2 linked regions of the Drosophila melanogaster genome follow. Changing the gene in region 1 together with any one later gene gives a genetic interaction. Each region holds a gene or a part of one and is shown in the gene's direction. Other genes may lie near its edges.

Region 1 (4,652 bases):
TTGGTGATTGCAGCACAATGGAAAGCCTTGCTCAATTCCTCGACATCATGACCATCGACAACGACGGCATTAAAGCCGAAGGCCTCCAGACGATCACGGTAAACATCCAGCTTATGCTGCAGGGAGGTGGCCTCCGACTGGCCCAAGCGGTTCACATCAAAGATCACGCAAAGGTTGTCCAGTTTATAGTGGCCGGCAAAGTGCAGCGACTCCCAGATGGAACCCTCGGCGGACTCACCATCACCCACCACCACGTAGGTGCGGTAGTCGGCCTTGTCGAAGTTCTTGCCCACATAGGCCATGCCAGCGCCGACGGCGACACCCTGTCCCAGGGATCCAGTGCCCACATCGATGAAGTTCAGACGAGGCGTCGGGTGACCCTCCAGATCGCTGTCGATCTTGCGCAGGTTGTTCAGATCCGCGATGGGGAAGAGACCAGCCTCAGCCCAGGCGGCATACAGAATGGGAGCAGCGTGTCCTTTGGACAGGATGAAGCGATCGCTGGAGGGATCGCGTGGGTGCTTCAGGTTCAGGCGCAGCTGCTGGAAGAACAGCACGGACATGATCTCAGCGATCGAGGCACATGATGTGGGATGGCTATAAAGAGGGAAAAGTAGGCAAAATATTAGATTGTGACAAGGCATTTCGTTTGCATGTAGTTCTAGGTTAAGGTAAGTGCCTAATGAATTATAGAAGTCGACCTCACGGTGGGTAAGTGAAGGCCGATCAACAAAGGAAAAGTGGAACTGAACACTGTGCATACTTGTTAAAAACGTTGTTTAATAAAAGAAATCCATTTGTCTATTGAAGCTTTTATTTAAACCCCCCCCCCCCCCTCTGTTCATATTTCAAATGAAGATTTCTCGAGTATCCAATTGCAATGTACATATAAATAAGATAAGATCCATTCTTGGAATTCAATGTTCCCATGCGATCGTGTTCCAAAAAAAATTGCTTTGAATCGCAGATCTGGCACAACTCCAACCGCAAAGAAAACACGCAACCCCAGACAAAATGGGGGGCTCGTCTTACCCCAGACATATAAATAAACTATAACGAGTACATGCATATGTATTTATTGGCGTTATATGGTGTGATATGTGTGTTTGTCGCGACGTGAGTCCATCGCAATTCCTCACCGGTTTCTGGGACCTTGAACTTTTCTGATCACCAAAAAACCTAAATAATAGCCTTAAAAACCAAATTCTTGGCTTCCACGATTGTGTTGCATGGCGATCTTTGTGAACGCACGTGCTTCTAGATAGTTCCGAAGTGCGTCCCCGTTTCCTGCAGCCATATCAAGAACTATTGAAGGTGATACGGAGTGTTAGCAGTGACCCGGCGCGCTTTTTTTTTTTTTATCAGTTTTCAGTGATTTTCGATTATCATGCGGGGAACACACTTGAGCTGGTCACCTCTAATCGGTCATATCGTGGTCAATGAGTAACCAAACCGGGCTTATCTCGTCGGCAGAGGTCACATTTAGAGCAAACAGAGCAGATCTTATCTTGAACCGTCACAAAAAAAAAAAAAAACGAAACAGAATGGAAAAACTAATGGAGGCGATAAAAGTGTTTTCCTTATCAGCATAGTAACTTTTTTATTTACTGTTGCAGTAATAATTTGATCGCGTCTATCCGAGATATAATTACATTAAAAGCCATACAGTCGTAAATCTCAAGTGTAGGGGATCATTCCATTACTATTCTCATCCCTCTCTTTCCAATTCCACTCCCGTCACAAGCTGTGCTTTCCAACACTTGTATGTACATATGTACATACGTATATTAAATGCCTCTGTTTGATATGTAAGTATGTTTGTTTTTACCCCATGTACATATGTATGTGCTTTCGGCGTTTTGAACGCCACGCACAAAACAAAAGCAAAAGAAATTAAAAGGCAGTAAGAAAAACCTAACGTTTCAAGGTTGTCTAAGGTCAAAAAATATTAGCTCACAATTTAAGGTAGGTGAACGCGGCTTATCACTGAGCACGCAGGCAGGGCAACAAATTCGCAAATTCACTAAAGCTACTGGACAACACGTGGGTTGGCAACTGAATCCCAGGAGGGGTCACTAAAGGAACCGGTCTTCCCATATTTTACTTCTCACATTCATACAAACATAGATGCATAACTATGTATATGCGTAACTATTTTTGTTTTATTTTCTTTTGTAATGTTTCAAAACACATACATATGTATGTATGTATTTAGCAGCCCCCTCAAAAACTTTTTCGCACCCACCCTGGAAATGGAGGGGGTCACCTTTGAAGCAACAAGTGCAAGGTGCACAACTTTTAAAATTCACATCTACACAAACAAATCTAAATACGCACACTTTAATATGCCTATGGACTTTCAGTTATTGATAAACTTACCCCGATTTGGAGGCCTGGGTGGCGTTGATAGAGTGAATTCGCAGTTTCTGGGCCAGATCTTTCAGATCCTGGACGGTCTTAGCTTCGGGCTTGTGGTACGACATCTTTGAAATGCGAATGTAAATTGGATCCGAACAAATGCGGTTTTTGATATGTTGCACAACAAAACTCGGGAGTTTCGGATTCGTTAGCCAAAGGGTGACTCCTCTATGTTTGCAATAGACAGACAAGAGTATCGACGTGGTGGATAAGTAGCTCGAGTCGGAGTTATCAACGGACCACTGCTGCCGGCTTCTGGGAACGAACTGCTCTCGTCGCCGGCACTTCGGTCGCTTTTACGCTGTGGGGGCTCAATCTTGGGAGCGGACTCGCAAAGTATCGGTATCGTCTATCGTCGGCGCTGGAACGAGATGGATATATGTATAAATATGGCATCTTTGCTCGCACACCACCCCTTTATCGGTGCACAGCTGTGGGTGGGTAACTAGTTAGTTTCAAATAGTGCATTGCTGCCTTTCTAAATTCATGCACAATTTTGGTCTAAAATTAAGCCATGAACAGTTGTACCTGAATATTTTCTCATTAAGATTTACAATGCTTTAGTATTTAATATAAGTTTACAAGAATTTAAGGTCCTATTTTTCTGGCCGCGAGTATTAAAGAGCAGCGGTGTTTAAGAGAAGTGCCCTCTCTTTTTGTCACTTTCCCCACCTCGCTCCTGAACAAAAGGTGAATTAGCCGCAAGCGAATTTAACCTTCGATAGCTCAGTTGGTAGAGCGGTGGACTGTAGTTGGAAAAACATGCAATAGAAATCCATAGGTCGCTGGTTCAAATCCGGCTCGAAGGATCGAAAAGATATAAATACCTTTTTTTTATATATTTTGTAGTGCACATACCTTTTTTTTTATATATTTTGTAGTGCACAATTTAAATCAATTTAATTCATCTACAGACATTCAGAATATAACTGAGCTGTTTAAACTAAATAATATAAGAAGGATTTTATTTGGAAGAAATAAACCGTAACTAAATTGATATAGTTTGTGAAAAGCGCCTAGGCTATTAGGCTTGGAAACTATAGGCTTACTGCAATGGACTGAATAGAGAAAGTTGATCAATTTTGTTTGACCTAAATAAGTAAAAATCAAAAATAAATAACCAAATACGGTGCATTTCGTTTGTGCGCATGCATAAAACGAACAACGGCCAAGTTTGAACTCAACCTTCGATAGCTCAGTTGGTAGAGCGGTGGACTGTAGTTGGAAAATTATGCAATAGAAATCCATAGGTCGCTGGTTCAAATCCGGCTCGAAGGATTTTTTGTAATTTTTTGTAATATCCAATTCGTTTTTGTTTTTATAGTAGCACCCGTACCCCATAAAAAATATATAAAATAGTATGCAATTATAAACATGTAGATGCAAAAGACATTTTATAAACACAATGTTATATAAAATGAATAATAATTTGAAGAATATCAATTTTAAAAACACGTGAAAATGAACATGTCTTACTTTACGCGTACATCAATATATTATTTAATTTTAGCTTAGCAACAATCAAAAGAAAAGGTATTTGAACGACATGGCATATGCTGTCCGTGACCTCAATCCATTAAAAGCTAAAATACGCATTAATTAAACCGATTACCAACAAAAGTTTATTGAAGAGTCGCGATGAATCGGATACCCGTTGTTTAACCTACTCCCCAGCACGCCCCCTTCGATAGCTCAGTTGGTAGAGCGGTGGACTGTAGTTGGAAAACATGCAATAGAAATCCATAGGTCGCTGGTTCAAATCCGGCTCGAAGGATTTTTTGTCGAATTTTTTACAAGCCATTTTTAATGCATTCTTGAATTCAGCTTAGTCAATCCTTTTCATTTCCACCTACCTTATCCTTATTAGCTTTTTTACCACACCTTAGCTAAGTTCGAGTAAATGTATCCACAAAAAATTTACGAGTGCAATGCGAAAGACTTTCAAATAATTTAGGATATCTACATATGTTTTGAATTATAGACTTTTGTTGGCCTAAAACCAAAAGCACAACTTGATTTTTATAATACAGATCTCTCCCCATCGTTAAAAAATCAAAACTTTCTTCGACTTGTGTTTTACTATTTAAAATTATACATTTTCATTCAATAATTTATTTATTTAATTTATTTATTTATGCGTACAAGTCGATATTTTTGTCACAAATACAAATAAATATGCAGATCCAAGTGTTAGAACGGACTTATGAATACCAACTTTTCCTTTTCCGCCTTAA
Region 2 (5,738 bases), on another chromosome or scaffold:
CACTTCCTCTTGTTGAGCTCACTTGCACGTGATTGCTGGCCGATGCGGGTGGGGGGCTCCTAGCCACTGCCATTCGGTATCCGATTTACGGAAAAGAAGTCCGTGCAGGACTTCGCCACATCGGGGCATCCGTGTGGCTTTTGTTCGGAATGGGGTCGTCAGGGGGCACTTGCAGGCGCCTGACTTTCAGATGGAGGCCGAATGCTTCGCATAGCTCTTCTGTTTTCTGTTTTCCGGCTGGATTGCGTGTAAACATCTGCGGGCACAAAGGAACTCTTCCACGTTCGACATTTATGCGAAAGTGAATTTCTAATGCTTTCGGTTTCCAAGGCACATTATGGTTTAAAAGCCCTCTGCTCCGTAACTGGAATTTTTAAGGCTTGAGAAAATGTGTTTGCTGTAATCTCCCATGAATTATGTAAGCTGATTCGACTGTTGACTTGTCCCCGATTTCAGAATGTGCAAATCGGTTAGGCTACAGACAGCGCTCTTTATGGTGAATTACATTTAGAACGCTTTACTTTACTGTGCAATCGCATTGATTAATGCCTGGTCTAAATAACCAATAGCTATTAGTTTATAGGAAAATATAAGTCATCAAAGAACAATCACTTTCAATGATGTAGTGCTCCAAAAGAAAACGGCTTTCAGAAAACAGGATGGATAAGTAGTAATCTAGCAATATTGCAAATGGGTTGTTTTAAAGGAATCTGAAATGGTTACTAACCCTAGTGATAAGCATAAAGCTAATCAAATATAGGCAAATATTGTTTTTACCAATAAATTATTCTTTAATTTAATTTATAGTCAAACTATAAGTTCAAAAGGGTGTTTGGTAATAATACTATACATTTTTAAAAGTATTGATAACTACCCCACTGCTCAATGATATCGCAACCGCAGCAAAGTGCCTGTATAAGGAACTGTAATATCTAATTAAGTCAGATCTGAAGCAACTTCCGTACATCTGTAAGATACGATCTATCCATACATACATACATACATATGTGTGCCATCCCGTTTGCGTTTCGGGTTATTACTTGGGTAATCGTATATGGGCCACATATCTCCTTCCCTGTCGCTCTGCTCGATGCACTGCGGCTAACCACGTTTTGTAATAAGCGTAATTCTATATAGTCACGTCGAGCAGTAAGTCGACAGTCGGCCAAGACAGCGGCCAATCCGCCAGATTGATGTGTCGCCCACTTAATGCCGAGCGACTCTTTTGGGACAAGTTGATGCGGCAAATCCTCAGCTTAAAGGAAGCCCGCCAAGTGCGGCGGAGCACGTTCTGGGTTGCTTGGAGAGGTCAGGTCCAGATATGGACACTGGGCGCCCTGCTCCACTGGTTGTGCCGGATGATTGGGTGCTCGTCATCGTAGCATCACGGCATCATGGCATTATGCATTACCTCGATCCAAATTATAGAGCCCAGTGATTCCGGAGCAGGGCTAACCAGCCGGACAACTGGCGTCGATTATGGCGGGCCACCGGACACTGGCCAATCTTTGTCCGGGGATTGCTTGATAAGCGGGTGCCAGCCGTCCAATCGGCCCATTCAAAGGCCCACCGGCTCTTCTCACGCTCATTTCGCAAGCGATTTGGAGGCGGCAACCAGTGTTGGTAAGCACCTGGCCAGCTATAGCGATTTTCGTAACTGTAATGCTAAACCTCTCACCACAAAAGGGGATGGTGCGGGGGCGGGACCAACGGGGCGAATACAAAATTTATAAAAGCCTAGTCGTCGGCACTGGGGATTTTAGTGCGCGTTCGTTTAGTCTGGGCAACGGTTGCTTAAAAAAAAAAAGCTCGAGGATCGTGCAGGATCAGGACTGGAAATCAAGCTGGAGCAAATGGAATCTGTGTAGAATCGCTAGGGATCAACAGCGTCAGTTGAAAATATGCCCAACGTGGACGAGCAGCGGGGAAAAGCAGCTACAAAGAGAGCGGAATCGGAGCAATCGGAGGAAAAGGGTGACCGCCAGGAGGGGGACGGGGATCCGAAAGACGAGTCTGAGGAGGCCACCGCGAAGATCAAGGGCCGTTCCCGATTCACTGCGGCTCTGCGAAGCCTCTCGAAGACCAAAACCAAAAGGGAAAGGGAGCTGGATAAAAGCACCGACAGGGAAACACGCAGCGCGGAGGAAGAGGCTCAGGAAACCCCAGGCGAGCTCGAAGACGTGGCCAGCTCCATCTCCACGGACAGTGGAGCCCTCGGCAAGACCAAGAAAAAGAGCCTGACGCGCCGCCTGCTTCTTGGAGGCCTGAGAAAAAGTGGGAAAACGCCGAAGGGGCGGCCCCACAGCTTGGCGACCAGCGACGACATCAGCGTGGAGCACCTGGAAACAACACCCCTGCCATCGCCACCCGGTTCGCCCACCTCCGCCGGCAGCAGCACGCTGCAGATCACCATCAGTGGCAAGAAGGTGGAGCCATCGCCCGCCAAGAAGAGCGGCAAGAGCAGACCCAAGAGCGACACGGATTATCTGACACCCGCCGCAGAAGAAAGGAAACCGAGAAAGAAAACCACTACCACCACCGTGACCACGAGAGATACGAGCAGCAGCACCCGCACCACCAAGCTGCTGGTGTCGAAGAAGAAGCCCCAGAGCCCCGAGAGAGAGTCCCCATCGGCGTCGCCGTCGCCGCTTATCACCACCACCGAGAGCACGCGCGATACGCCGCCCAGAGAACGGGCGCCAGCAAAACCAAGTCGCGTTCAGTCAGCCAGCGGCACCGGAGCTGTTCGCAAGTCCCAATCCTCGAGCGCATCCAGCAGGAAGCTGGAATTGATGCAGCAGCAGCAGCAGCGCGGCCACCGCCTCAACGCCAGACCACTGGCTGAACTAGCGAACACGGAACCCCAGCCATCAGGGCAGCAATCCCTGGACCCATCCACATCCCCTCCGGCGGCTGAGGACGGAGTCTCCTCGGCGGAAAGCGCCCAGACTATTGCTAATCCCCCGCCCGTTGTCCGCTTTGAAGTGGGCAGTGCAGTCAGGAGTCCCTTGAGTGCCTACGAAGCCGCATTGGCCGCCGCCGCCAGTCAACAGCCCAACTCCAACGAAGAGCTCAGCGACTCCAGCATCCGGCGTCTCAGCTTCGCTCAGCAGCAGCTCATCCTCGGCGACCACGACAGCATCGAGGGCAGGCGGGAAACACTGCACTATCAGTCGGTGGCTAGTGAATACTCCAACCAGGACTCCGGATCCGAGGACGATAGCGAGGAGCAGGCGGATACCACAGAGCCAGAGAACGCCAAGCCCATGCCGGCCTTCGGTGACCTGACCATGGATCAGGAAATGGAACCGGTAAGGTCTCGTCGTCGTCGGATTGCCAATTCGCCAGTTGTCATTTACCTACGAAGAAGCGAAGAAGCCCCACAAGTGATATGTTGGCCCCCTTATAGTGTGTGTTCCAGAGTGTCATTCAACTGTGCGGGCGGCGGGCGGTGGTAATAGCCCAGGGGGTCTCGTCAACTAACCAGCAAATCTCAGTGCGGATTGACGAGCAGCAGAAGGTGTAACTAATACCAGGCTTAGAATTTATTAAAGTGGTGAATTCTCACTTCCTATATTATATATTGATATGCTTTTATATAACTGAGTGTAAACGTGCTATGATAGAACAAACTTTACTACTTATTATAATTCGAAATGCACGGATTATTTATATTTGTATCTTGAAACCCAGAGCCCAAAAGTATGTATCTCTTTATCTTGAGATTTCAAGTCACAAGTGGGATTTCATTGTTTAGTGTATCAAATTTATCAAACTATTCTATTAAGCATGGATCGAACATACAAGTAACTCTCATCCAATCCTTGCTTGCAGGCCATCATGACATCCACCAGCGATAAGCGCGAGCATCTGTACAAGATTCTAGTCATTGGTGAACTGGGCACCGGCAAGACGTCCTTCATTAAGCGCTATGTGCACCAGTTCTTCAGCCAGAACTACAGGGCCACCATCGGCGTGGACTTCGCCCTGAAAGTGCTGCAGTGGGACGCCAATACGATAGTGCGCCTCCAGCTGTGGGATATCGCCGGTCAGGAGAGGTTTGGCAACATGACCCGTGTCTACTACAAGGAGGCGGTGGGCGCGTTCATCGTTTTTGATGTGACTCGCAGTGGGACTTTCGATTGCGTGAGCAAGTGGAAGGAAGATCTAGACTCCAAGGTGCAGCTGCCGGACGGCAGTCCCATTCCGTGCATCCTGCTGGCCAATAAAGTAAGTGATTGCCTAAAGGTTAAAGGAGACCGCATAATTTCTATATTATGTGATTAATACGTTGCTCATCCGTTTTCCAGTGCGACCAGGAAAAGCAGGGCATCATAACGCAGCCCGAGAAGATGGATGAGTATGTGAGGGAGAACGGATTTGCCGGTTGGTTTGAGACATCCGCCAAGGAGAATATCAACATCGATGAGGCAGCTCGTGCCCTCGTGAATAAGGTGATAATCGCTGCTAATGCCCAGCCAAAGCCCCGCTAATCTTCTTCCACTCGCCCGACAGATACTCATCAACGATAAGCTGATATCTGCCGATCTGGCCGATGGCGACAAGTTCAACTTGAGCGCGGCCGATGCAACCGGATCGGATGCCAAGAACAAGTGTTCCTGCTGACCTGGGACCGAGGTCCGGCGACTCCTATTCCCATTCCCAGTTTAAGAGCGAGTTTCAACACAGAAACGCCATGTGCCTACGTCCACTCCATGTTCATGTTGTTAGAAGATAGCGATAACTATGCTTAGGGTTTTAACGTAACATTTGTCTAAGACTTAGTGTCATCCGTATCATCCCGTCCGTCTTTATCTTTAACACCCCGTCTGTGGGTCCACAATGTTGCGCCGGCATCGGGATCCGTGTCACTTTGAGAATTTATATGGTGACACATAACATACCTACGCATACGAAACATTATTACTATCACCATCATTGCCCTAGTTGCGAGGATTAGCCGGAGGTAGTGCAGCATCCGTATCATAGCATACTACATTTGTGTAAAATGCGAATCGTCTTATTGTTTTGTTTGTTTTATTTGCCTCTGCTGGCGAGATTGTTTTATCTTGGAATTATTATTCTCGTATGCAAACACACTCTGCCATCATTATTTGTATTTAGATAACAATACGTACGCTTAATGCAATGCGAAATCAGAAATAAAGTTTTTAATGGTAGTTAAGTTCAGACGACGTGTTTTATTGGCTGAATAAATTCTGTGTAAGTGCTTTTGTGATACAATGAAAATGTTATGCTACTAGTATTTGCCTTCATTGAATCACTGGTCTTTGTAAATAAATACGAATAAAAGCTTTGTTTTTACATTTCCTTTTTTAACGGTAAAAAATCGTATCCCCAACCGGCAATGTTTTTCTTTTTTTTTAATATTCAAACTATCGATAGTTATCAACTATGGTATTCCTTATTGTTTAGTGATCACATATTAAACTTAAAAATAATGATATACAGATAAAAGTGTCGTGCGTTCATATTCTACATAAAATTATTAGCAATTATTTAATCGTTATGAAAAGCGAAACGTATAAACTGGTAATTGGTATGGGAAAAATTGGGAAAAAGCTGGAATCAGGTTTAATTGCAATTTGGTTTTATAAAATGTTTTATGGCACAAACAAACATCCTGACTCAAAAGTGAATTAAGCTTGAAACTTAAATACTCCGAGAATACCGTGAATATGCGTTTACCAATTGCTGCTGAACGGGACCACTATCGA

Evidence for each region. Genes that interact genetically often act in the same process or in processes that back each other up.
Region 2: of p (region 1) and Rab32, changing one enhances a phenotype caused by changing the other (phenotypic enhancement), as found in Drosophila melanogaster (one study listed by BioGRID).

The regions. Positions count from the first base shown.
Region 1 is NT_033777.3:8,667,656-8,672,307, reverse strand, and holds the start of p (pink), read left to right. Parts: upstream 1-1,623; 5' UTR 1,624-1,808; intron 1,809-2,379; coding exon of another isoform or gene 2,380-2,483; exon of another isoform or gene 2,484-2,779; intron 2,780-3,133; exon of another isoform or gene 3,134-3,227; intron 3,228-3,602; exon of another isoform or gene 3,603-3,696; intron 3,697-4,099; exon of another isoform or gene 4,100-4,192; intron 4,193-4,271; exon of another isoform or gene 4,272-4,440; intron 4,441-4,535; exon of another isoform or gene 4,536-4,652. Other genes in the region: CG8036 (uncharacterized protein), read right to left, coding at 1-597, 2,380-2,483. UniProt on the Drosophila melanogaster protein: Has a role in the biogenesis of eye pigment granules. Eye pigment granules are specialized forms of late endosomes or lysosomes. Biogenesis of pigment granules in the eye requires molecular components required for protein delivery to lysosomes.
Region 2 is NT_033778.4:9,177,322-9,183,059, reverse strand, and holds Rab32 (Rab32), read left to right. Parts: upstream 1-1,761; 5' UTR 1,762-1,901; coding exon 1,902-3,311; intron 3,312-3,713; exon of another isoform or gene 3,714-3,834; coding exon 3,835-4,230; intron 4,231-4,310; coding exon 4,311-4,454; intron 4,455-4,515; coding exon 4,516-4,626; 3' UTR 4,627-5,196; downstream 5,197-5,738.